2 linked regions of the Caenorhabditis elegans genome follow. The protein of the gene in region 2 purifies or fractionates together with the protein of the main gene of each other region. This does not show direct contact. Each region holds a gene or a part of one and is shown on either strand. Other genes may lie near its edges.

What was found. The genes of interacting proteins can lie anywhere in the genome.
Region 1: the proteins of tpi-1 (region 2) and got-1.2 fractionate together in Caenorhabditis elegans (co-fractionation; one large-scale study listed by BioGRID). This does not show direct contact.

Annotation. Positions count from the first base shown.
Region 1 is NC_003284.9:16,787,246-16,798,052, forward strand, and holds got-1.2 (Aspartate aminotransferase, cytoplasmic), read right to left. Parts: upstream 5,882-10,807; 5' UTR 5,868-5,881; coding exon 5,470-5,867; intron 5,282-5,469; exon of another isoform or gene 5,205-5,281; coding exon 4,834-5,204; exon of another isoform or gene 4,787-4,833; coding exon 4,478-4,786; intron 4,429-4,477; coding exon 4,280-4,428; 3' UTR 4,102-4,279; downstream 1-4,101. Other genes in the region: T01C8.2 (PHB domain-containing protein), read left to right, coding at 138-233; aak-2 (5'-AMP-activated protein kinase catalytic subunit alpha-2), read left to right, coding at 8,844-8,986. UniProt on the Caenorhabditis elegans protein: Biosynthesis of L-glutamate from L-aspartate. Important regulator of levels of glutamate, the major excitatory neurotransmitter of the central nervous system.
Region 2 is NC_003280.10:12,034,337-12,045,143, forward strand, and holds tpi-1 (Triosephosphate isomerase), read right to left. Parts: upstream 4,804-10,807; 5' UTR 4,797-4,803; coding exon 4,479-4,796; intron 4,256-4,478; coding exon 4,154-4,255; intron 3,242-4,153; coding exon 2,918-3,241; 3' UTR 2,499-2,917; downstream 1-2,498. Other genes in the region: cyn-16 (Spliceosome-associated protein CWC27 homolog), read right to left, coding at 708-781, 912-1,047, 2,358-2,399; ippk-1 (Inositol-pentakisphosphate 2-kinase), read left to right, coding at 8,646-8,669, 8,730-8,827, 9,774-10,161. UniProt on the Caenorhabditis elegans protein: Triosephosphate isomerase is an extremely efficient metabolic enzyme that catalyzes the interconversion between dihydroxyacetone phosphate (DHAP) and D-glyceraldehyde-3-phosphate (G3P) in glycolysis and gluconeogenesis.

The DNA of each region.
Region 1 (10,807 bases), on a different chromosome or scaffold from region 2:
AAAATTTCCAATTGTCTTTACTGCAGACGTTCAATGAACTTTTCCCCCACCATATCAATGATAAGTGTTTTACTACCTAAACATGATTTATAGTTTGATCCAATCAGTCTCTTTCCTTTATATGCATTTTTTTTCAGATGGGAGGTAAATATGGATGGCGCCTAGGACCACATCCATTGATCGTTGTCAAGAAGGGTGGATTTGTCGCCGAGGAGGAGGTTGATGATGCTTAAATACTTAGTTCCATTCCAACAACAAATCTATATTTTGCTTTTAATGGTTTTGTTTTTGAAATATGCAGTACGTTTATTGCATTTTTAATAATTCCGCAACTTTTTGCTGCAAACTTTTATTCGAATAAAATTTTAATTTGAAGTGAATACTTTTTAATGAATTGTTCGTACAGTGTCATCAATTGCTCTAGCCACATAATCCAAGTTACTCATGTTAAGCCCGCAGATATTAATACGACCGTCACTGAGAAGGTAGATCTTGTGATGGGCTATGAGATGGTCGACTTGACAAGCTGAAAACCATTTCATTTATTTTTTAGGTTTTTCAGAAAATGTCTAATCTAAAATTGCTTTTTATTAATTTTATTCCCCACGACCATACGGACTTAAAGCTGGATGTAACTTTTGTGCAAAATGGCACAATTCCGTCCGGAGCTTTGGGGTGTTTTACGAGAATAGGTAAAATAACCTAATGCTTTTTCACTATGCTAAATAGTTTTTTGAAAAATATTGCTTACTTACGCGTCAATCCGGTATAACTGAACAACCCCGATTGTTGAGTAATACGATCCCATTTTCCAGAAGTTTGAAGCATATTCAACTCTCGAATCAGTTCTTGTCTTGTTTTCTTAATACGAAAAGCCATCATTTTAATGGAATTTTGCCATTGTTCTCTGTACTTCGGCGACTTGAGAATCTCATGCACAATACGTGCTCCGTAAGCTGGAGGGTTAGAAAAATTAGAAACATTAACAAGTGTCAGTTGGGATTTTAGGTTCGCAATATGACTTGGTTTGTTCACGATCACAGTAAGGCTTCCAACACGATCATCTGAAAATTTTAATCCTAACTAATAATATTCAATTCAAACTTACTGTAAAGCCCAAAATTCTTTGAGAAAGATTGAGAGACAATCATTTCCAAACCCTGTTCGACAAAGAACCGAACAGCCCAAGCATCTGCATCAGCGTCGCCAGAAGCTAATCCCTGATCAGCAATATGAAAAAAAGTGAAAAGATTCTTCTGTTTGATGACTTGCGCCATTTGTATCCATTGCTCTCGAGTTGGGTCCATTCCTGTTGGATTATAGCACAGGCTTGAAGAAGAACAGCTGATCTTTCCGGAGCTTGGCGGAGGTCGTCAAGTAACTGTGTGATGTTAATTTCTCTGTTATGCAAGTCCCAGTACGTATATTCCCTAATTGAATTGAAACCACTCTTTTGAAATGTACGCTCGTAGTTTCCCCTGGAAAAAGAAACATCACACAATTGGTCGTTTTAATAATCGGTTGAAAAAATTTTGATTTTCTCATTAAAAAATACCCCCAAAAAGCATTTACTTACCAGCATGGATTGCTGACATAAATCGTCTTCATACTAAGAACTTGAGCAAGAAACTCTGCTCCAACACATATGGCACCTGTACCAGAGATGCACTGAACACTAAATGATCTTCCCTCTTTGATAGCCAAAGAATCATTTCCGAGTAGCAAAGCGGTGGCTGATTTGCAGAATCCATCATGTCCAAGAATCGGTAGGTACTCATGATTGTGATGAGGCTCGTGAGGGAATTTAAGTTCGATTTCTCGAACCACTGGCAAAACCCACGGCTCTCCATCTTCCGTGCGATAAGCTTCTATTGCAAGATTTATTTTCACAGGGCAAATTTCTTTCTGGAAGAGTTCCGATGTATGGAGCTCTTTGATTGGCGAAGCAACATGAATTCCATCAAAGAAAGATAGCCGCATATTTTAACTGAAATTTATTTGCTGTTTAAGCTTAGATAACATTAACCCTTAGCCTAAGATGGACAAAAAAGTCACGTAAAACTATGTATAAGAATGGCCACCATTTCTGGGTCAGTTGAACTACACAAGTACCAAAAGTTGAATAGTTCCATGCATAACACGAAATAGAAAAATGGGAGTTTTTTGGAGCAGGTGGCGATAAGAAAACGAAATTTTAATTTATAGCTGACGTTGAAAAAAACTCTTGAACTCAGAAAGTGCAAGAAACAAAATTTCTGGGACTGCAAATTCAGTACATTTTATACTTTGACTATAAAACATTTTTGTAGCTCACTGTCTTCTGAAAAAAAGAACTGGGAGTACTTTTTTTCCTTAGCGCAATCCTGTTTATATACGGTTGCAAAAATCGTTATAGCGTTCGCAACATGGTAATTTTGTTCAAGAATCAAAAAACTGCGGTACTAAGTTTTTTTTTTTTTTAGTTTATTTTTTTTTAGTTTTTTTATTTTTTTAAATTTATTTAGTTTAACTATGTAAAGTTTTTCTGTTCGTTTGAAAATGAATTTGTGTTCCTGATTACTTCCTGGCACGTATTCACATTTTCATGGTGAATCGAGTCTGGTGAAGATGGGCGTACCCACGGTTCGACATGTTGCTGGAATTCTCGTGCTTTTTGAAAAATGAATATGCCGTTCTATTAATTTTGTAACCCCGTAACAAATGAAAACCGTTTTGTAACGGGGTTTCTTAGTAATAATATTGGGTATAAGTACAACAATAACAACCATAATAACAATATAATAATAATAATAATAACAATAACAATAATAAGTACAACCGCTTGATAATTGAGTTTGCCATTTTTAGAGCAATGGAAAATATTACATTGTCATTTTCTATTTATTAATTGTTATGATCAAATAAAACCTTTTTCATCCTTCCCATATTCATTGGTAATGATTACTCTATTTTTTTCCATAAAACAACTACTTGATGAACGATGTTACGGCGAAACACGAAGGTTCGAAAAAAACTAAGACAGCTTAAAGTGCATTGCAATAAAAAATGATTTATCACTTGATTGACGTTGATAAGAAAATAGAAGCCTACCTCAACTTTGAATACTCCGGGAAATGAAGTTCGTGTAGATGAGAATGCGAAAGTTTGACGTGGTCAGTTATAGAATTAAATCAGTTTTTCAAACTGTAGTAACAAATATTAACAGCTGCTCGAAAAAAAGTTTTTAAACATGGTGCCAGGTGGTCAGTAATACACTGTATTTTGAAGCATATGACAGAAGTTGAAACACTTTTTTTTCAATTAACTACAAGAAAATTACAAAAATAAAATAAAGCCTAGTGATGATTAGTATTTGCACCATATATCATAATTGCTTGAACAGAAAACATTGTTCATAAATCCCCGCAATTTTTTAACTGTCTTTCACACTCCGGGTCATCGAAGTTTGCAAGACGTAAGCTTTTCAGGTAATGGAACACTGATGTATCCTTACCTGTACACGTGATTTCAGAAAGTTGGAGAGCCGTTTTTGAATTGGTGCTCCGTTCAAATTGACTCTAAAAGTTATTCACGAAATCCACATATAGTTGAATGTTTTTTTAGTATTGTGGAATAATTTTAAAACAATTATTCTAAATACTAGAGAACCATTTTTAGTACAAAACTGATTATTTTATCCCATCCCGTTGTACAACGTAACAGAAAAGCATAATTTGAAAGTTTCTCGGAGCACACTTTCAATCCAATGAACTGTAAAGAAAATTGTTGTAACAAGATTTTTCTCAAATTTTGCCACATGACTTCGAGGAGACTGAAAAATTTTAACCAAATCGACAGGTGTCTAAACAATAGATAGATGGCAAATATTCTTAATCTAAACTTGGGGTGACCAGAATTACAAACTTTGTAACAAAATGTCGTAGACTTTTCGCACAACAGTTTTAGTTTTATTTTTGTTCCGGCAATTCTGATGTTCCTCTTGCTTCCATATGCCAAAAATCCGCTGCTTCATGCATTATGGCAGTGTATCCATAATTGTCGCGGTTAGGAGCGAATATTTTATGAAATAGTTCCCCAAGTAAACGTCCACATCACACGGATAATAATAGCAATGATTCATTTTCCATTCAAGAAAAAAAAGTAATCGGGTTAAAATAAATAAAAGTACACACGGGAAATTAAAACTAAGTGCATAGAAATACTCAATCTACACTTAATGCTCAAACTTGAAGAGCACAAAAACTCAATTTTTCACATAAAATTCATAAATTTCAAAGCTTTAGATGTTGCTCTTCACGGCACGCACAGTCTCATCAATCGCCTTGGCGACATATTCCACGTTTTTCGTGTTAAGACCACAAATGTTGATGCGGCCGTCTCTGAGCAGGAATACTTTGTGATTGGCAATCAGGTGATCCACTTGGGCAGCTGAAAATTAAGATTGTCCTCATCAGAGTGTTAAAAAAAGCAAACTCACAAGTAAGTCCGGTGTAGCTGAACATTCCAATTTGTTGAATGATGTGATCCCAAGTTCCAGGAGTGCCAAGATCCATCAAATGGCGCAATAAGGCGGCTCTCATCTGCTTGATACGAGAAGACATCGCTTGAATAGACTGGTTCCATTGTTCACGGCGAGCTGGGGTGGTGAGCACCTTGTGCACAATTCTTGCTCCATGTGCTGGTGGATTGGACCAGTTGGCACGGATAACCAACGACATTTGAGACTGGAATCCGGCAATGACAGCTGGATTGTTGACGACGACAGTAAGGTTTCCGACACGCTCGTCTGAAATTTTGAAGTATTTTACTTTTCATCTTCTATTCAAAACTTACTGTAAAGTCCAAAGTTCTTGGCAAATGATTGGGACACAACCATCTCCATTCCCTGGTCTACAAAGTAGCGGATCGCCCAGGCGTCCGCAGCTGGATCACCAGATGCGAATCCTTGGTAAGCAATGTCAAAGAAGGTGAAGAGGTTCTTTCTCTTGATCACCTCGGCAACCAACTTCCATTGCTCCTGAGTTGGGTCCATTCCAGTTGGGTTGTGAGCACATCCGTGAAGAATGATGACAGACTTCTCTGGGGCTGACTCAAGATCGGAGAGGAACTTCTCAATGTGCACACGTTTGTTATCATAGTCCCAGAAGGTGTAGTCGGCGACGGTGGTGAAACCAGCCTTCTTGAAGACAAGCTTGTGATTTCCCCTGAAAATGATAAAAATTCATGATTTGATGAATTTCGCCCAGCATTATCAGAGGTTCAGGAAAAGTACCTTACACCTCTTTGAAAGAGCCTTGCTGAAACTCATTTTTTACCTAGATTACCTAGGTTTATGGTAATACTGCCAAGAATTGGGCGGCTATTTTAAGAAGTTGAAGTTCTGGTTGACTGCTACTCACTCTGGCCAATACAAGACTTGTTATATTTTATCAGATAAGTATGTTTGGCTCCGATTTTTCGACCACTTACCATGTTGGGTTGCTCACGTAGACGGTCTTCATGTTACACACTGAAGCAAGAAACTCGGCTCCAGCACGAAGAGCTCCGGTTCCAGAGAGACACTGTACTCCAAACGATCTTTCCTCCTTGATAGCTGGCGATTCGGCTCCGAGGACAAGCTCGGTGGCAGCCTTGCGGAAACCCTCGTGACCGAGAACTGGAAGATACTCGTGATTGAGCGAGGTGTCGTTGGCGATTTCGACTTCAGTCTCATGAACGACTGGAAGCACCCATGGCTGTCCCTCCTCTGTGCGGTAGGCTCCAATTGTCAGGTTAACTTTGACGGGAGCCGTCTCATCGAGGTACATCTTGTTCTTGTGGAACACCTCGATTGGTGGAGCAACTGGGATTCCGTCAAAGAAGGACATGTTGAGTGTTGTTTCTGGAATTAAAAAAAATCAATAAGTTTAGTTATAGAAATTGAAGAGATGAAAAGAGTGGCGGTATGCCGCAAAACGCGATAATGAGGTGTATTTATATAGCGAAAGAGATCAAAATCGAAAAATGACCACGTTAAAAGGAGGTCACCTCATCGACATTCGAGAGGATTTACTTGGAAACAAAAAACGTTTTAGGTGTTTCCAATAAAAATCGATTTGATGATAAAAATTATTATACGATAAGAAACGTAAAACTTTCTACTTTCTTATTTTAGCACTCAAGAAATCAACAGAAACGTGTGTTGATAAGACTACGGGCCCAGTTTCAAGACTGAACTAGATGGTTACTTTCTATTGCACCAAAGTCGACAGTTCACAACAAAAGTTACAGGAAATTTTGCCTAGTTTTCGGACAAATTGAGGAAAGGGGGTCTCAAAAACGGACTGCCTCTTCTCGACAACTCTTTCTCGTCGGCCCGCCCTCCAATAAGCACACACTATTTCCGAGAAAACAACACATGCGGGTAGAAAACGAGAGGCAGCGTTGTTGTTTGCCAGAGACGTTTTTCGAGACGTGACCATTTTGAAAATTTTTATTTCGAGGAAAACGTGATGGCAAGGTGGAGAGAACGGGCAAAACGCAGCGCAATGAGATCGAAATGTGTCATTTGTGAGGGTTTCAAAGTGTTCTTTGATAAGGCAAATTACTTTTTTGAAAATTGAAAAAAAAGATTGGATATTTATCTAGGTTAATGTAATAAGATCCTAGGAATAAATGAAATTATATCAAAATTCCCTCACCAAAAATGAAAAACTATTTTTTTTTTTGAAATTTTCTAGTGGAAGTTTTCTTCTGTTTTTGCCTATAGAAAAACCTTGAAAGAGCTGATTTTTTCAAAATCCCTTTACAAAAGGAATCAAGGTTAACCTATACAACTACCTCGTGAACTTCAAAGATTCAAAAACCAAACGACCACTTCAAAAATTATTGGCAAAATGACCTTTTGAAATGAGTGATGGTGCGAAACCGCCTAGATAAATAAATATAACAATCTCACGTGGCCAGGCGGAAAAACATGTTTATGTAAATTTTCGAAACGAAAAATAATCGGTTTTCTTTTTGGGGTGATGATGGCGGGACATGATGAAAAGAAATGGAACAGTATACACGAGAAAATCCAAGTTGCTGGGTATTTAGAAATATGGATGAGAACTAAACAACATTCCGCCCGGTAAACGCCTTTGAATGAATGAGAAGTAAAAATGAAAAAAAATCACAGAAAAATATTCACCGTAATGAGAATTTGCATACAAGATTTCCGGTAGAAAGAAGGGTGAGAGAAGAGGTAAAGAAAAAGGCGATAAGAGGCGCCTCCGGGCCGCCTTAAAGCCTCAATTCTACGTGGCGAAGTTCTCAACAAAGTTTTGTAAAATTTACGACAACTAAAAATTTTTTCAGCACATTCTGATTTATTATTTTAGTCACCGACTTTAATGGGTGGCCTTTAATGATTTTGAAGTTAATTTGAAAATTTTTAAAATCAATAAAGATGAACATGGACATGGATTTTTCACAAAACTAACAATTAAGAGGCAACAAAAACAAACATAATGATAGTTGTTAGAAAAATGGAAATTGAACAAAAATTTCAAAAACAAAGAAAGCAAGTCAACAAGTGTCTAACGAAGAAGTAAACTTTTCTCATCACTTGGACGCCGAGTGTGCTCAAAACCATTGTGCTCCGAAATATGACACTTTTCAACTCGTCCCATCGTTCAAAGTTATTATTCCCTCTCATTTTTTTTCCCGCGCTCTCGTTGGCTCTCGTATCATGAGCTCTCGTTGACAAGTAACTTTTAAGTTTCAAAATTTATCTATAGTTGTTAAAGTATAATGTTTTCCTAGAAGCTGTAAGCTTGGCAGGTGACTTTCCCTGCGGGAATTGCGAAAAAAATAGAGACTGAATAAAACGCATATACTGTTTCATATTGTCTGGCACGTGCCTTGTGGCAGGAGGTATACCAATACACTGCCCCGTTCTGATCCGATTACTTTGACAAAAGTCGCCGAGTCTGATACTCACAAACAGTAGCGTCAAGTGAGGAGGGCTCACTTTACCAGAATTTATTATGAATGTTTCTGGTATCATCACATTGTTTCAACTTTCCACGCGCTGTTACATTGCGTTTTGAATCGATTTTTTGGTATTCTGCCAAATATAGCTTCAGTGCGTTGCACTCGAGCATCTGAACATATTTGCTTTTTGTTTGGCGAGAGGAAGGAAAAAGCACTGAAAAGTGCTTAAAAATCGTTTTGAAATAAGGATTAGTAACTGGATTAGAGCTAGAGCATTAAGTGATATTAGGCAATTTTTGTTATTTCTAAAAATATGGAACTATGCGGGTGGAATTTTTTGTTCACATGAACGTGTCAAAAAAATTGTTAATGTTCATACCCTCATTTACATTTCCACTTTTATGGCATTTTGGAAAAAGATGGCTATATTCGCCCTGTTAGTTTTAGAAAACCTTTTCCACTAGATATTGAAATTTCGAAGTGAAGTTTTCGCTTTCATCAAACATTCTTCGAGAGCTAGCTTCAATTGTTCTCCTTCATTTTTTCTATTGCTTTATGTTGCATTGAATAGCTAAAAAAAAATTCAAAAAGCTATCCCTTCAAAAAAAGAAAATTCGCTGCTTCTCGACGTGAAAAACAATGAAAAAAGTGTTCGGTGAGTACTTGTTCTATTTACACAGCAAACCTTTTTAGCAGCCGAGCTGTTAGAAAAACCAAAAAACGCCACCAAAATATGCTTATTCACATTTTCCGTCATCACCATCGCCGCCGATTTCTGCGCATGACAAAGTGGCTTTTCTCTCTTTTTTTGGATTTCAAGGTCTAACATTGCCGTTCTAATGCCCGTTTTTTAGGTTACATTTCAAAATAACCGACTATTTTCAGAAATGTTTTCTCATCAAGATCGAGACCGCGATAGGAAGGAGGACGGTGGTGGAGACGGTACTGAGATGAAATCCAAGAGTCGGAGTCAGCCAAGTGGACTTAATCGCGTGAAAAATCTTTCAAGAAAGCTATCGGCAAAGTCAAGGTTAGTTTTTGAGGGGTTTTCGGGGGGTCAAGGGAAGTCAAAAACCGCAATTCTAAAATTTTGCGATGGGTAGCCACAGAAGGGATGTTCTTTTCATTTGAAAATGTGAAAAAGATTAATTTTTTTTAAAACCACACTGATGAGTTTAGTGAAAAAATTAAACATGCTTCTAGCGCCTCAGCTAATCAACTCAGATTTTCCGTACAAATTACTTTAGTATTACGAAATATTGAAAAATTCATCGGCCCTCAGCAAATTAGATTCCAATTCGGGAAAATACTGAATTTTCCCTGAATTCCGTGTTTTGTCTGTGTGAATTAAAGATTGTTCACATTTAAAATAACGTACCAAGGTTTTTTTTTGAAAACTTTCTAGATCACTAGTTTTTGAAAGACTAAATATTAATTTTCAGCAACTTTTTGTAAACGCCCATTACGATTAGCAAAACAGAAAAAGATAACAGCAAAAATGTTCAATGCAAAAACAAAAGAAAAGAGACTGGAGCCTTAATGCAAAACGAACAATGTGGGGGCCCTTCCCGAATAAGTGAGCCGCGCGGAACGCTGCCGCCCTCCACTAAACAACGCGCGGTACGATACTCCGTTCATCGGACCAACTTCCCCCCTCTTTACCTAGTTGGCAACATTTTCTTCGTATTCTCACGGATTCTCCTCATTCATTCCGCTTTCAAACCCAATTTCCGTGCATTTAGCATTGGAAAAACACGTGCCGCAACGTATCCGAAAATAGTGTGAGACGCAGACGGCTGGCGCCCCGCGTGAGGCGACCAAAAGGCTTTTCTTCTTTTTGTCCTCCGTTGAAAATCATGGTAAATTGAGTGATCTCGTTTGCGTATTTGTGTGTATGAGAGAGTGTGAGTGTGTGTGTGTGTGTGTGTGGACACGCCAAAGCTTGATGGAGTCACATGTATATCATGAAAAACACAAACAGATACCACACCAACGAATCTTGAACCTTGAGTTCTTCCGCCAGTGTTCATTTTTAACATCTCTTCATCGTTCTGCAAGGAGACCTGTCAAAATTTCCAACAAAAAAAAGAGTTTCCCATAAATTAGGAAAATTCTGATAGGTTCGGAAGTTTTCCGTGAAGTAACTGAATATATTTTCAATGATCACGAGAAGGCAATTGAATAAATGTTAGTTGGAAAATTTTTATTGAGCTTCTAGATTTTGTTGTCTAATATTTGAGCCTCAAACTTTTAATATAGGTTATTATTTTTTATTGCAGCCGACAATTTTTTGTGGCAATTTATATACAAAAGCATAAATATCTGAGATGCTTAGTTTCATAGAAATTCAGTTCAAGAGGCTTCACCGTATAATATAATATATTCTTGCTGAAACTACAGGAAAATTTAGTGGGAACTTGTGAAATTTGAAAGCTCCCAGATTCGATTTTGTCATTCTTTTATGCAATGCAAAAATTATTTTTAAAAAACTGTTTTCGACATTTTCTCATGATTTGTGAAAAAGTTTTTTTCTCAAATAGAAGTTAAGCTCATTTTTCTAAATAGTTTTTCTAAACCCTGGATTGTCTCAAATCCGCTGTAGAAAAGTTGAAGCGACTGACATCTTATGAGCTAAATTTTTCCTGAGTTTTTGAAATAGACTACATCTTGATAATTGAACATTACAGTTTGACAAAATTTATAAAAATATTGATCAGTTGGATTTTATTATTTTTCTGTTGTTTTGTTCTAGCTCCAGTAGGGTGGATATTTTTCAAAAATCTCAAATTTTTGTGCAACTTCTATTAGTACAAATATAAAAATATTTCAAACGTGCACTTTTTGAACATGG
Region 2 (10,807 bases):
AACTAAAATTGATTTTTTTAAACTAAAAAAAATTTTTTTTGAAAAATTGATTTGTTTAGACTGAAATAAATGTTTTTTTGGAAAAATTGATTTTGTTTCCGAAAAAATTAAATTTTTTACCCAAAAAATTGATTTTTTTTGGTCAAAATTTAATTTTTTGGCCAAAAATTGATTTTTTTTGGTCAAAATTTAATTTTTTGGCCAAAAATTGATTTTTTTTACCCAAAATTGTTTATTTTTTGTAAAATGGATTTTTTTACAGAAAAATTTGATTTTTTGTCATATTTTTCTAAATAAAAAATTAATTTTTTCCCCCTAAAAATTTAATATTTTTGGCCAAACAATTGATTTTTTTTTGAAAAATTGATTTTTTCAACAAGAAATTAATTTTCTAAAATTTGTTTTTTTTTAACTAAAAAATTGACAAAAAATATTTCTGAAAGAAAAATTGATTTTTTTTTAATTTAAAATTAATTATTTTACCCAAAAATTTAACTTTTTTTTAAACTAAAAATTGATTTTTCGGTTTTTTTTGGAATTTTTGTATGAGAAGGCCTTAAATCTGTTTTTACTCATAAGAAACGTTGAAAAAATACAAAATTATAGCTTCAAATTTTTTATGACAATTTTTTTAAAGAAAATTTGAATTTTATTGGGATTTTCAATTTTTTAAACGATTTCTCAAAAAAAAAGTGCAAATTTTGAACCTTAAATGGTTTTCCATAGATGCTCTCTCCGCCGGTTCCGGTTGCCGTAGGGTCTCCACCCTGGAGAATGAAATCTGCAAAAAAAAATTCTTGGAAATTTTTGAAAAAAACTTGCAAAAAAAAATTTCTTTTTTGATTTTTAAAAATGTTTTTAATTTTAAAATTTAAAAAATTAACGTTAATTTTTTTTCGCCATTTACTAACTTTTGACAAGCCGATGAAATACAGTTCCCTTGTAATAATTTTCCATGCAAAGCTGGATGAAATTTCTGCATGCTAGTGGAGCTTCCTTCGTCCAAAGCTCAATTTCAATGTCTCCGGCAGTGGTTTCAAGGGTTACCTGCAAGAAATTTAGTTAAAAATGAAGTAAAATTGAAGAAAATTGAATAATTAATTGATTTTATTATGGTAAAGACATTTTTTTAAAGCTTTTTCGAAATTATTTAATTTTTGAAAATTCAATTTGTTTCGATTTCTTCAAAATTTTGGGATTTTCGCGCCAAAACTACAGTACCTAGGGTATCGACACGAATTTTTATTATTGCTAATTGAGATACGTGTGCGCCTTTAAAGATTACTGTAATTTTATTTTAAAGTTTGCAACTACAGCTCTTTAAAGGCGCACACCTTTTCGCAATCAAAAATTTTTTGTCGTGTCGAGACCCTAGGTACCGTAGTTTGGGCTCGAAAATCGCAAAATTTGTCATATTTTTGCGATTTTTCATCTAAAAATTGACAACTTTTTAAAAATTCGGATATTTAATTTTTAAAAAGGAGTAAAATATGACGAAATCTGCAATTTTCGCGCCAAAACAACGGTACATAGGGTCTCGAAGCGACATATTTTTGTTTAAAAATGTGCGCTTTTAAAGATTACTGTACATTCGAATTTTCATCAATTTTTCATAGTAAACTGTAGTTTTTGGATAAAAAATTTTCGAATTTTTATCGATTTTTTGATTAAAAAAATGTTCAAGACTACAGTACTCTTTTTAAAGGCGCACACCTTTTTGCAGTTAACAAAAAGTCGTCGTGTCGAGACCATAGATACCGTATTTTTGGCGCGAAAAGCGCAAAATTCGTCATATTTTTTCGATTTTTCCTCTAAAAATTGACAAATTTCAAAAAATTCGGATATTTAATTTAAAAAAAAGAGAAAAATATGACGAATTCTGCGATTTTCGCGCCAAAACTACGGTACCTAGGGTCTCGAAGCGACACATTTTTGTTAAAAAGATGTGCGCCTTTAAAGATTACTGTAGTCTCGAATTTTTATAGATTTTTTGATTAAAAAAATGTTCAAGACTACAGTACTCTTTAAAGGCGCACACCTCTTTGCAATAAACAAAAATTGTCGTGTCGAGACCAGGAAACGTAGTTTTGGCGCAAAAAGTGCAAAATTGGTCGTATTTTTCAATAAATTATCCAAAATTTTTCGAAATTAGCCAATTTTTAGATAAAAAAAACTCAAAATTTTCGTTTTACAGCTTAAAAATTGCAAAAATACGCGAATTTTTCATCGGAAAAATCGAAAATTTCACTGGATTTTCGATTTTTATTCAAAAATCGATAAAAATTGAAATTTTCGGTCATTTTTTCTGGAAAATTCAATTTTTTCCACCAAAAATCGATAAAAATCAATAATTTTACCTTTCCCGTCGTAATCGGCTCGTTGATATATTGATTACTCATCTGAAAACTGAAAATTTTCCGCAAAAATCTGAAAATCGCCGGCTGAAATATTCACACAGAACAAGTAACTATTGTTTGAAAATATCGATTTTTTGTTATTTGTCGGCAAGAAATTTATTTATATAAATATATATAGGTTTTGAATATCAAAAATACTGGAAAAAAAAGCTGCTACTAATATCTACACTGTAGAGAGGAAAAAGCCAAATTTCAAGCCAAAAAATTCACGAATTCACCCAAATTTTGGATTTTTTTCGGTCAAAATTCCGGGAAAATTGATGAAAATCAGCTAATTTTACAATATAATTTAGAGGAAATCTGGGGGAAAATTGGGGAAAACTAAGGGAAATTCTACAATTTTGAAGCTGAAATTCCGGGAAAAATCAGCTAATTTTACGGCTAAAAATTAGGGGAATCAATGAAAATCAACCAATTTTACGACCAAAATTTAGGGGAATCGGTGAAAAATCAGTGGAAATCCGGAAAAATCTGTGAAATAGGGGGAAATAAATAATAATTTAAGATCTGGCGTTGATAATCTTGACAAAATCGGGTTTCAACGATGCTCCACCGACCAAGAATCCATCGATATCCGGCTTCTTTCCAAGCTCAGCCGCATTGTCAGCAGTCACAGATCCTCCATAAATGATTCTCGTGGCATCGGCGACAGCTGGTGAGACCTTCTCTTTGAGGAATGCACGGATCCATTCATGAACCTCCTGGGCTTGTTCTCCAGAAGCAGTCTTTCCGGTTCCGATGGCCCAAACTGGTTCGTAGGCGATCACAATGTTCTCCCAGCTGACACCCTTGTCGACGATGGCTTGAAGTTGACGGAAGTTTACCTGGAAATTGGAAAATTTGGGTCTCGAAGCGATCGATTTTTGAAATTTATTTTTCTACAACATTAAAAAAAATCTTTATTTATAAGGAATTGGGTATTATTTTTCAGGAATTTTTTGTTTCAAATTTTATCGATTTTTCGAAAATTTTATATTCTTCGGGATTCTTTTTTTTTTTTGAATTTTTCGCGTTTTTGGGAATTTAAATTTGTATTTTTATATAAATTTCACGAAAATTCATTAAAAAATCGGGTCTCGAAGCGATTATTTTTGAACTTTTTTTGTTTTACCACGTGGAATAGGGAATTTAATCGATTTTTCGAAGATTTTTAAATAAAAATGTTTCTTCGGAGATTTTTTTTTGAACTTTTCTGCAAAATTCAAGAAAATTCATAAGAAATCGGGTCTCGAAACGACTATTTCAGGAGTTTTTTCTTTTTTATTGCCGGAACCAATTTTTTTGTTGAAAATTTGGCAAAAAAAAAAAGAATTATTTTTGGCGACCATTTTTTGTTGGAATTTTCCGCTTTTTTGGAAAATGATAAAATTAAATGTTTTCTGTTCAAAATTCACGAAAATTCATAAAAATCGGGTCTCGAAGCGATTATTTCTAATATTCGTTGCAGAAAGAGAAATATTGCGTTTTTTTTGAGGAAAAATTGAGCTCAAAACTATAAAATTCAGGGATTTTTTAAGAAGAAACTTTGAAAAATTCCCGAAAAACGTGCAAATTCGAAACAAAACCATTTTGGAATTTTCAAAAAATCTCAAAAACTTGATTTTTCTACTGAAATATTAGAAGAAATCGATTTTCTACCCGAAAAAATTAAGAAAAAAAATCTGAAAGTTTGAAAATGTTGAATTTTCAAATTTTCTTGCGAAAAATCGATAATTTCCAGTATTTTGCTCCCTTACATCCTTGGTGTGTCCGGCTTCACGCTCCTCGAGCTTCTCCCCAATGCAGAAAACGACCTTAATTCCAGCCTCGAGAGCATGCACGGTCTTCTCAGCGATCAGCTGAAAAAGAAATTTCAGATTAATTTCCCTGAAACTCGAATTTTTTATTGACACTTGGTGTCAGGCTGTCTCATTGCGGTTTGATCTACAAAAAATGCGGGAATTTTTCTGCCAGAAAAATGTGACGTCAGCACACTCTTGCGAAATCAGTGGAAAAGTCTGCGTCTCGAGAAGATCTTTTCCCGAATTTTTCGAAGATCAAATCAAAATGTATTAAACTAACAGCATCGCTTTCTCCAAAGACATGACGACGTTCCGAGTGTCCGAGGATCACCCATTCCAATCCAAGATCCTTGATCATTGCCGGCGAAATTTCCCCGGTGAATGCTCCCTTTGGCACTTTGTAGCAGTTTTGTGCGGCGACAAGCACACCGGCTTTAAGCTTGGATTTAGCGTAGGCCAGATATGGAGCTGGTGGAGCAACGACGACATCAACGGAGGAATTGTCGGCTGAGGCGTTGAGGAAGGTGACGATACCATCGACGGAGGCATAGTCTCCGTTCATCTTCCAGTTTCCTCCGACGAAGAACTTGCGAGTCATCTTGATTCTACAAGAATTATGGAATTTTTTTGTTGGAGGGAAATTTGGATAGAAATTCAGAATAAGGAGGAGAAAACGATAGAAGAATTGCTATTCTTTGTGAAACCGAGAGTATCGATTTTCCCGATTTTCTTGCCCTGTATTCTTTTCAAAAAGTGGCTCAAATTTAATTTTTAAAAATGTCGTCTCGAGACCTGGTATGGCTCAAAAATCGTAATATTTCGCCTCTAGCTAATTTAGTATTGATTGGCAAATGTAAGAAAAGTATATAGTTCAGCAAAAACTTAACTATCTAAAGATGGTCTAGTCGAACGTTTTTTATTGTTTAAGTAGTCTCGAAATAGTCTAAAAACACCGAATTTCATAATGAAACTTCTTGAAAACTCCTCCAAAAAGTTATGGCGGCTCAAAAAATTACCTGAAATTAGTTAAAATTTGAAATTTAACCGACTTTTCAAGCGGCTAACTTTTTTGAAATAACCGTCTAATTTTGGGTATACAAGTTAATTTCTTGTTGCAGTTTCAACTCGATTTTGGTACATTTAAGCTCGATGTATCCCCCAGATGTTACCAAATTTAACCAAATCTGGTGACAAATCGACCTCAAATATACCTAAATCGAGTTGAAAACGCAAGATAATTAACTTATATACCCATAATTAGACGATGATTTCAAAAAGTTAGCATCCAGCCGCTTGACAAGACGGTCAAATTTCAAATTTTAACTAATTTCAGGTCATTTTTTGTACCGCCATAACTTTTTTTGAGAAGTTTTCAAGAATTTTCATTATGAAATTCGGTAATTTCAGATAATTTCGAGTCGAACACAAAAGGAATTTTTGCTGAACTATATACCTTTCTTACATTTGCCAATGAATACTAAATTAGCCAGAGGCGAAATTTTACGATTTTTGAGACACACCCGGTCTCGACACGACAAATTTTCATTAAATTCGAGTCACTTTTCGACAAGAATACTGACAAGAAAATCGTGAAAAGTCGATACTCTAGAGTCTAGGCAAAAATTAAAAATGACGCAAATGACTTTCGAAAATCGTGATCAATAGCCAACGTTTGATAAGGACGAGAGATAACAATGGAAAATCGAATTCGACATTGTTTTTTCGAAACAAATTTCAATCGAAATCAAGACTACACAACAAGTGAGATAGCGGGGTTTCTTCGATTTTATTTTTCTTTTTTTTGGCTGGCCAGCAGCAGCAGTCGAGAGAAACGAGACGATACAGTGTAGACAATGAAGAGACGGAGAGAGAAGGCGCAGTCCGAGTTTGCACGTATTTTGTAATGTTCTGAGTAGTGTGTGTGTGTGAATGGCAGAAGAGTGTTTGTGGATAGATTCGATTGGGAAGGGTTATTACGGGAGCACAAAATTCAGAGAATACGTACTGCACAACATATTTGACGCGCAAAATATCTTGTAGCGAAAACTACAGTAATTCTTAAAATGACTACTGTAGTGCTTATGCCGATTTACGGGGCTCGATTTTCAAAATGGATGCTTAGTTTTAATATTCTATTTATTTCAAAAAATCGAGCCCGTAAATCGACACCAGCGTTACAGTAGTCATTTAAAGAGTTACAGTAGTTTTCGCTACGAGATATTTTACGCGTCAAATATGTTGTGCAATACGCATTCTCATAGTATTTTGTTCCAGTAATATATATTTACAGGAAAATATGTTGGAAAACATCAGAAATTACAATGAAATTAAAATCACAGTGATTTTTCAAAAAAACGCTCCGCCCTTTTATTGGTTTTTTGCGTTTACGTCGCAGTTTGGCGAAAACTCGATTTTTTACCAAAACATTAATAAATGGACGGGATTTTTGTGAAATTTTTGAAAAAAAAGTCACTATTTTTAAGTTCAATTTGCAGTAATGCAGCTAAAAATCATTCGAATTTTCTATATATGACGTTTTCGAAAATTTAAATCTTCGCAAAGCACCGCCCATATATTGCCAAACTCCGCCCATTTATTGGTGCTTCTTCATGGTACAATTAAGCATTAAAAATCATACGCTTTTCGAATTTTGAAAACCTTTATCCTACAGATTTATAGTTAAATCCACAGCAGCTTAGAAGTATTATCAGATTATCAGGCTTAAAAAAACAATTTTTTCTAGATTTTTCGCCCCCGAAAATGCCTCTCATTGTAAGTTCAACATCATTTTTTTTTCATTTTTTCGGTCGAAAGAAAACCAAATAAATATGATGTGATCACTTCCACTACCTCGTGACACTTTTTATAACAAAAACATAGTTTTTGTTCGAAAATAGATATTTTCTGATTAGAAAAGTGCATTTTTTGGTGGAAATTAATTGGAAAATTTTGCAGCTGCTCGTGGTGTTATGGATCATAAATTTCTCAATTTTTGAGCGGAAATTCATATAAAATTTGCATTTTGAACGGCATTTTTGTCCTAAAATCGTATTTTTTTCGATAGTTTTAGCTGAAAAATGTGAATTTTAAGCTTAATTATTGGAAAGTTAGATATTTTTTCACGATTTGGAACGATTTTCCTGTAGAAATGCTTAATTCCGGCTCATTTTTAGTCCAAATCATCATTTTTAGTCTCCGCTATTTTGAAGAAAAACACACGCTTTTTGCGAAGATTTGGGCAAAAATCGATAAAACGTCATTTTTAATCGGTTTTTGATCATTTCCAGCTCCTTTACACTAGATTTTATGCGAAAATGCATGTATTTTTTAAGAAATTTAATTTTTTTAAATATTTATTTGACAAATTTTATATTTATTTAGTTACTTTGGAGCTTTTTTTCAATTTCTAGTTGCATTTTGAACTTAAACAACTCCTTAAACTTAAAAACCAACAATTTTGAAATTGAGTTTCCGGCGAACGATTTTCGAAAAAAAAATTTCCGACCACTAAACCCCCGTTATCAAAGCCCCCGCAAGTGTAGATAGTAAAATACACGATAAAGAATCAAAGAACAAGGCTAAATTGAGCAGGAAAACAGAAAAAACGGCGGAAAATGACCGGAAACAAGTGAAAAATGAACGATTTCCTGTGGTTTGGCACGCAGCTAAGCCGCTCGATAGAGCGCACTTGCTGCGAGTCACAAGGAATTCAAGTTTTGGAGAAGTGGTCTCGTCTAGTTTTTCAGCGGGTTTCTTTTAATTTGGGCGGGATACACATAGTTTAGTATTTAAAATCAACAATGTGTGATAAAATATATTCGAATCTAAAATGAAAAATCAGGTTTTCAATGGCTATACTCCAAATTGTCCTGCTGAATCCGCGGGGTTGGTTTCCGCAGAATCCCCATCGCGGAGTCTCAATAATTCTTTTTATTTTTATTTTCTCATTTTCCCCTTTTCCCCTTTTCCCCCTTTTTCTTTCAATTTTCCCCATTTTCCATCATTTTTTTCGTTTTTCTATGATTTATCATCAAAACAAAGCACGAAATTCAATAAAAAAAACAATTTTCAACCAAAAAATTGCGAAAAAACACGTCATTTCTTTCTTTTGCTGCCAGAAAAAAGAGATAGTTCTTTGTGTACCTGTATCAAAAATCACAAGGTTTCTTGGCATTCGGCCAACATTTTGATCTCGTCATCTGATTACCAAGTTTCTCTGCGTCTCCACGGCTTCCGCGCAGAAAAAAAAACAAATAGATAATTTCGTAATAGTGATGTTGAGGATTTTCTGGTTTTTTTTTCTCCTTTTTTTGTTTTTTTCCCGTCCTCCCAGTGAATCATCGCAACTATATGTATCCCTTTTTTCCTCTTTCAGATGCTCTACGATTAAAAATTTCCCGCTAAAAACTGCAATTTTTCACTGAAAACTCACCAAAACCACCCGAAAATGCAGATTAATCCTCCTGCAACTGTGAGTTTTTGTGTTTTTTCTTTTAAAAAAAGGTTTAAATTAATTAAAAATTATTTTTAGGTGCTCATTGAGCCCCGTGACTATCGATCATTCTGCTTTCGCGGCGAAGGGCGCGCGAATTTCGTTATTAGCGCCAGGCATCGGGTTTCTGGAGTCAGGTATGTTGTTTATTGATGGATTTCTGAATTTACTGGAGAAATACGTAAAAATCCAGGTTTTTCAGCTAAAAATTCGATTTTTCCCAAAAAATTCAATTGGAACCATTAAAAATCGAGTTTTTAAAACAAAAAAAAAATTTAACTTAAAATTGATAGAAACCCGCGTTCTCCTCATTTTTCTCCTTTAAAGTCTGAAAAAATTCACGAAAAACACAAAAAATTGGTCTAGAAACGTAAAAAATTAACTTTTCTTCTAAAAAATTTGAAATGCCCCTCGTGGAGTACGGTAGCAGTCAGTTTCAACTGTGCCCATAATTTTTTTAGCGATTTCTTTAAAAATTTTAAATTAATATTCTGGATTTTCTGCCGAAATTGTTGAATTTTTGACTTGAAAACATGAAAAAATTGGAAATTCCAATTTTTTTTATATTTAAAAAAAGTTTCTTATACTAATTTTCCGTTAAAAATTAAGATTTTTCATGTTTTTCAAGCCAAAAAATATTAAATTTGACTTTAAAAATTCAAAAACTAAGAAAAAAATTAACAAACACAGCTGAAAACGACTGCTACCGTACCCCATAGTGGGAATTTCAAATTAAAAAAAATTTTAAAGTCAAAAATTCGGCTGAAAATCGGTTAAAACTGAGAAAAAACATCGTTTTTCCATTTTTTTTTGAGCAAAAACCTCTTTAAAAAATCGAAAAAAATGAACGGACACAGCTGAAAATGACTGCTACCGTACCCCATAGTGGGAATTTCAAATTTTTGAGAAAAATATTGAGTTTTAGCGTTTCAAAATGATTTTTTTGTGTTTTTCGATAATTTTTACCAAATTTGAAAGGAGAAAAATGAGGAAAACACGAAATTTTGTGAAAAACTTTGTTTTTTTCACAAAATTTCCCAATTTTTACCTAAAAAACTAAAATTTACCCCCCAATTTTTCCAGGATAGTATGGCGATTCGCAAAAGCTCGAAAAAGTGGTCTAATGACTGTAAAAGCTCGCAGTGAGCTCGTCAACAGTTATATGGAACGAATAGTTGCCCCATTCTTCTCCGATCAATACCTAGTCGACATGAATATCGTCGAATTCGACACAGTTGACGTACATCAGCTCGCGAAGATCCCAAGCCTTCCGGCGAATCAGAAAATTGAAAAATTCGAGGATTTATTCGAATTACCCGATGAATACTCATTCTTTCCACTGAACACATTCCAAAGGGTACATGGATCGGTTATTGTGACGAATCCGAAGCGTCTGACATCGTTGCAAATGTTAGATGCTACACAGTTACCTATGACTGTCATGGATTCGGGGCATAGCTCTACTATTACTGTAAGCGCAATTTTCGATAGCTTCAAATCTTGAAAAAAAATGATATCACCCAAATTTCTAGACGGGGCATTAAAATCAATATAAATTTCAAAGGTATATAGGTATTTAGGCATAGGTATATAGGTATATAGGTATGTAGATATATAGGTATGTATACATATTTATAGGGAAATATAGGTATATAGGTATAAGGGTATATAGGTATAAAGGTATGTAGGTATATAGATATATACATATATAGACATATGGGTATATGTAGGTAATAAAGTATGTAGGTAGAAAGGCTTATAGGTATATAGGTATATCATTTACTATATATAAAGCGCTTATTCTGTGTGTCCATAGTTTGTAGTCTATGTAGTCTTTGTAGTCTGTGAAGTTTTGGCTTCTGGAGGGATAGTGAGTTAGGGTTAGTGTAGGGATATAGTCGGGGTACTTTAGTGGTACAATAGTGGTACGGTAGGAATACTGTAGGGTTACGGTAGTTTCATAAAAAATTAATTTTCAGCCCCAGAAGTCGGGGGCCGCGCCGAAGGTATGTGTGTATATAGGTATATAGGCATGTAGGTATGTAGGTATACAGGTATGTATTTATATAGGTATAAAGGTGTGTAGGTATATAGATATATAGACATGTGGATATACT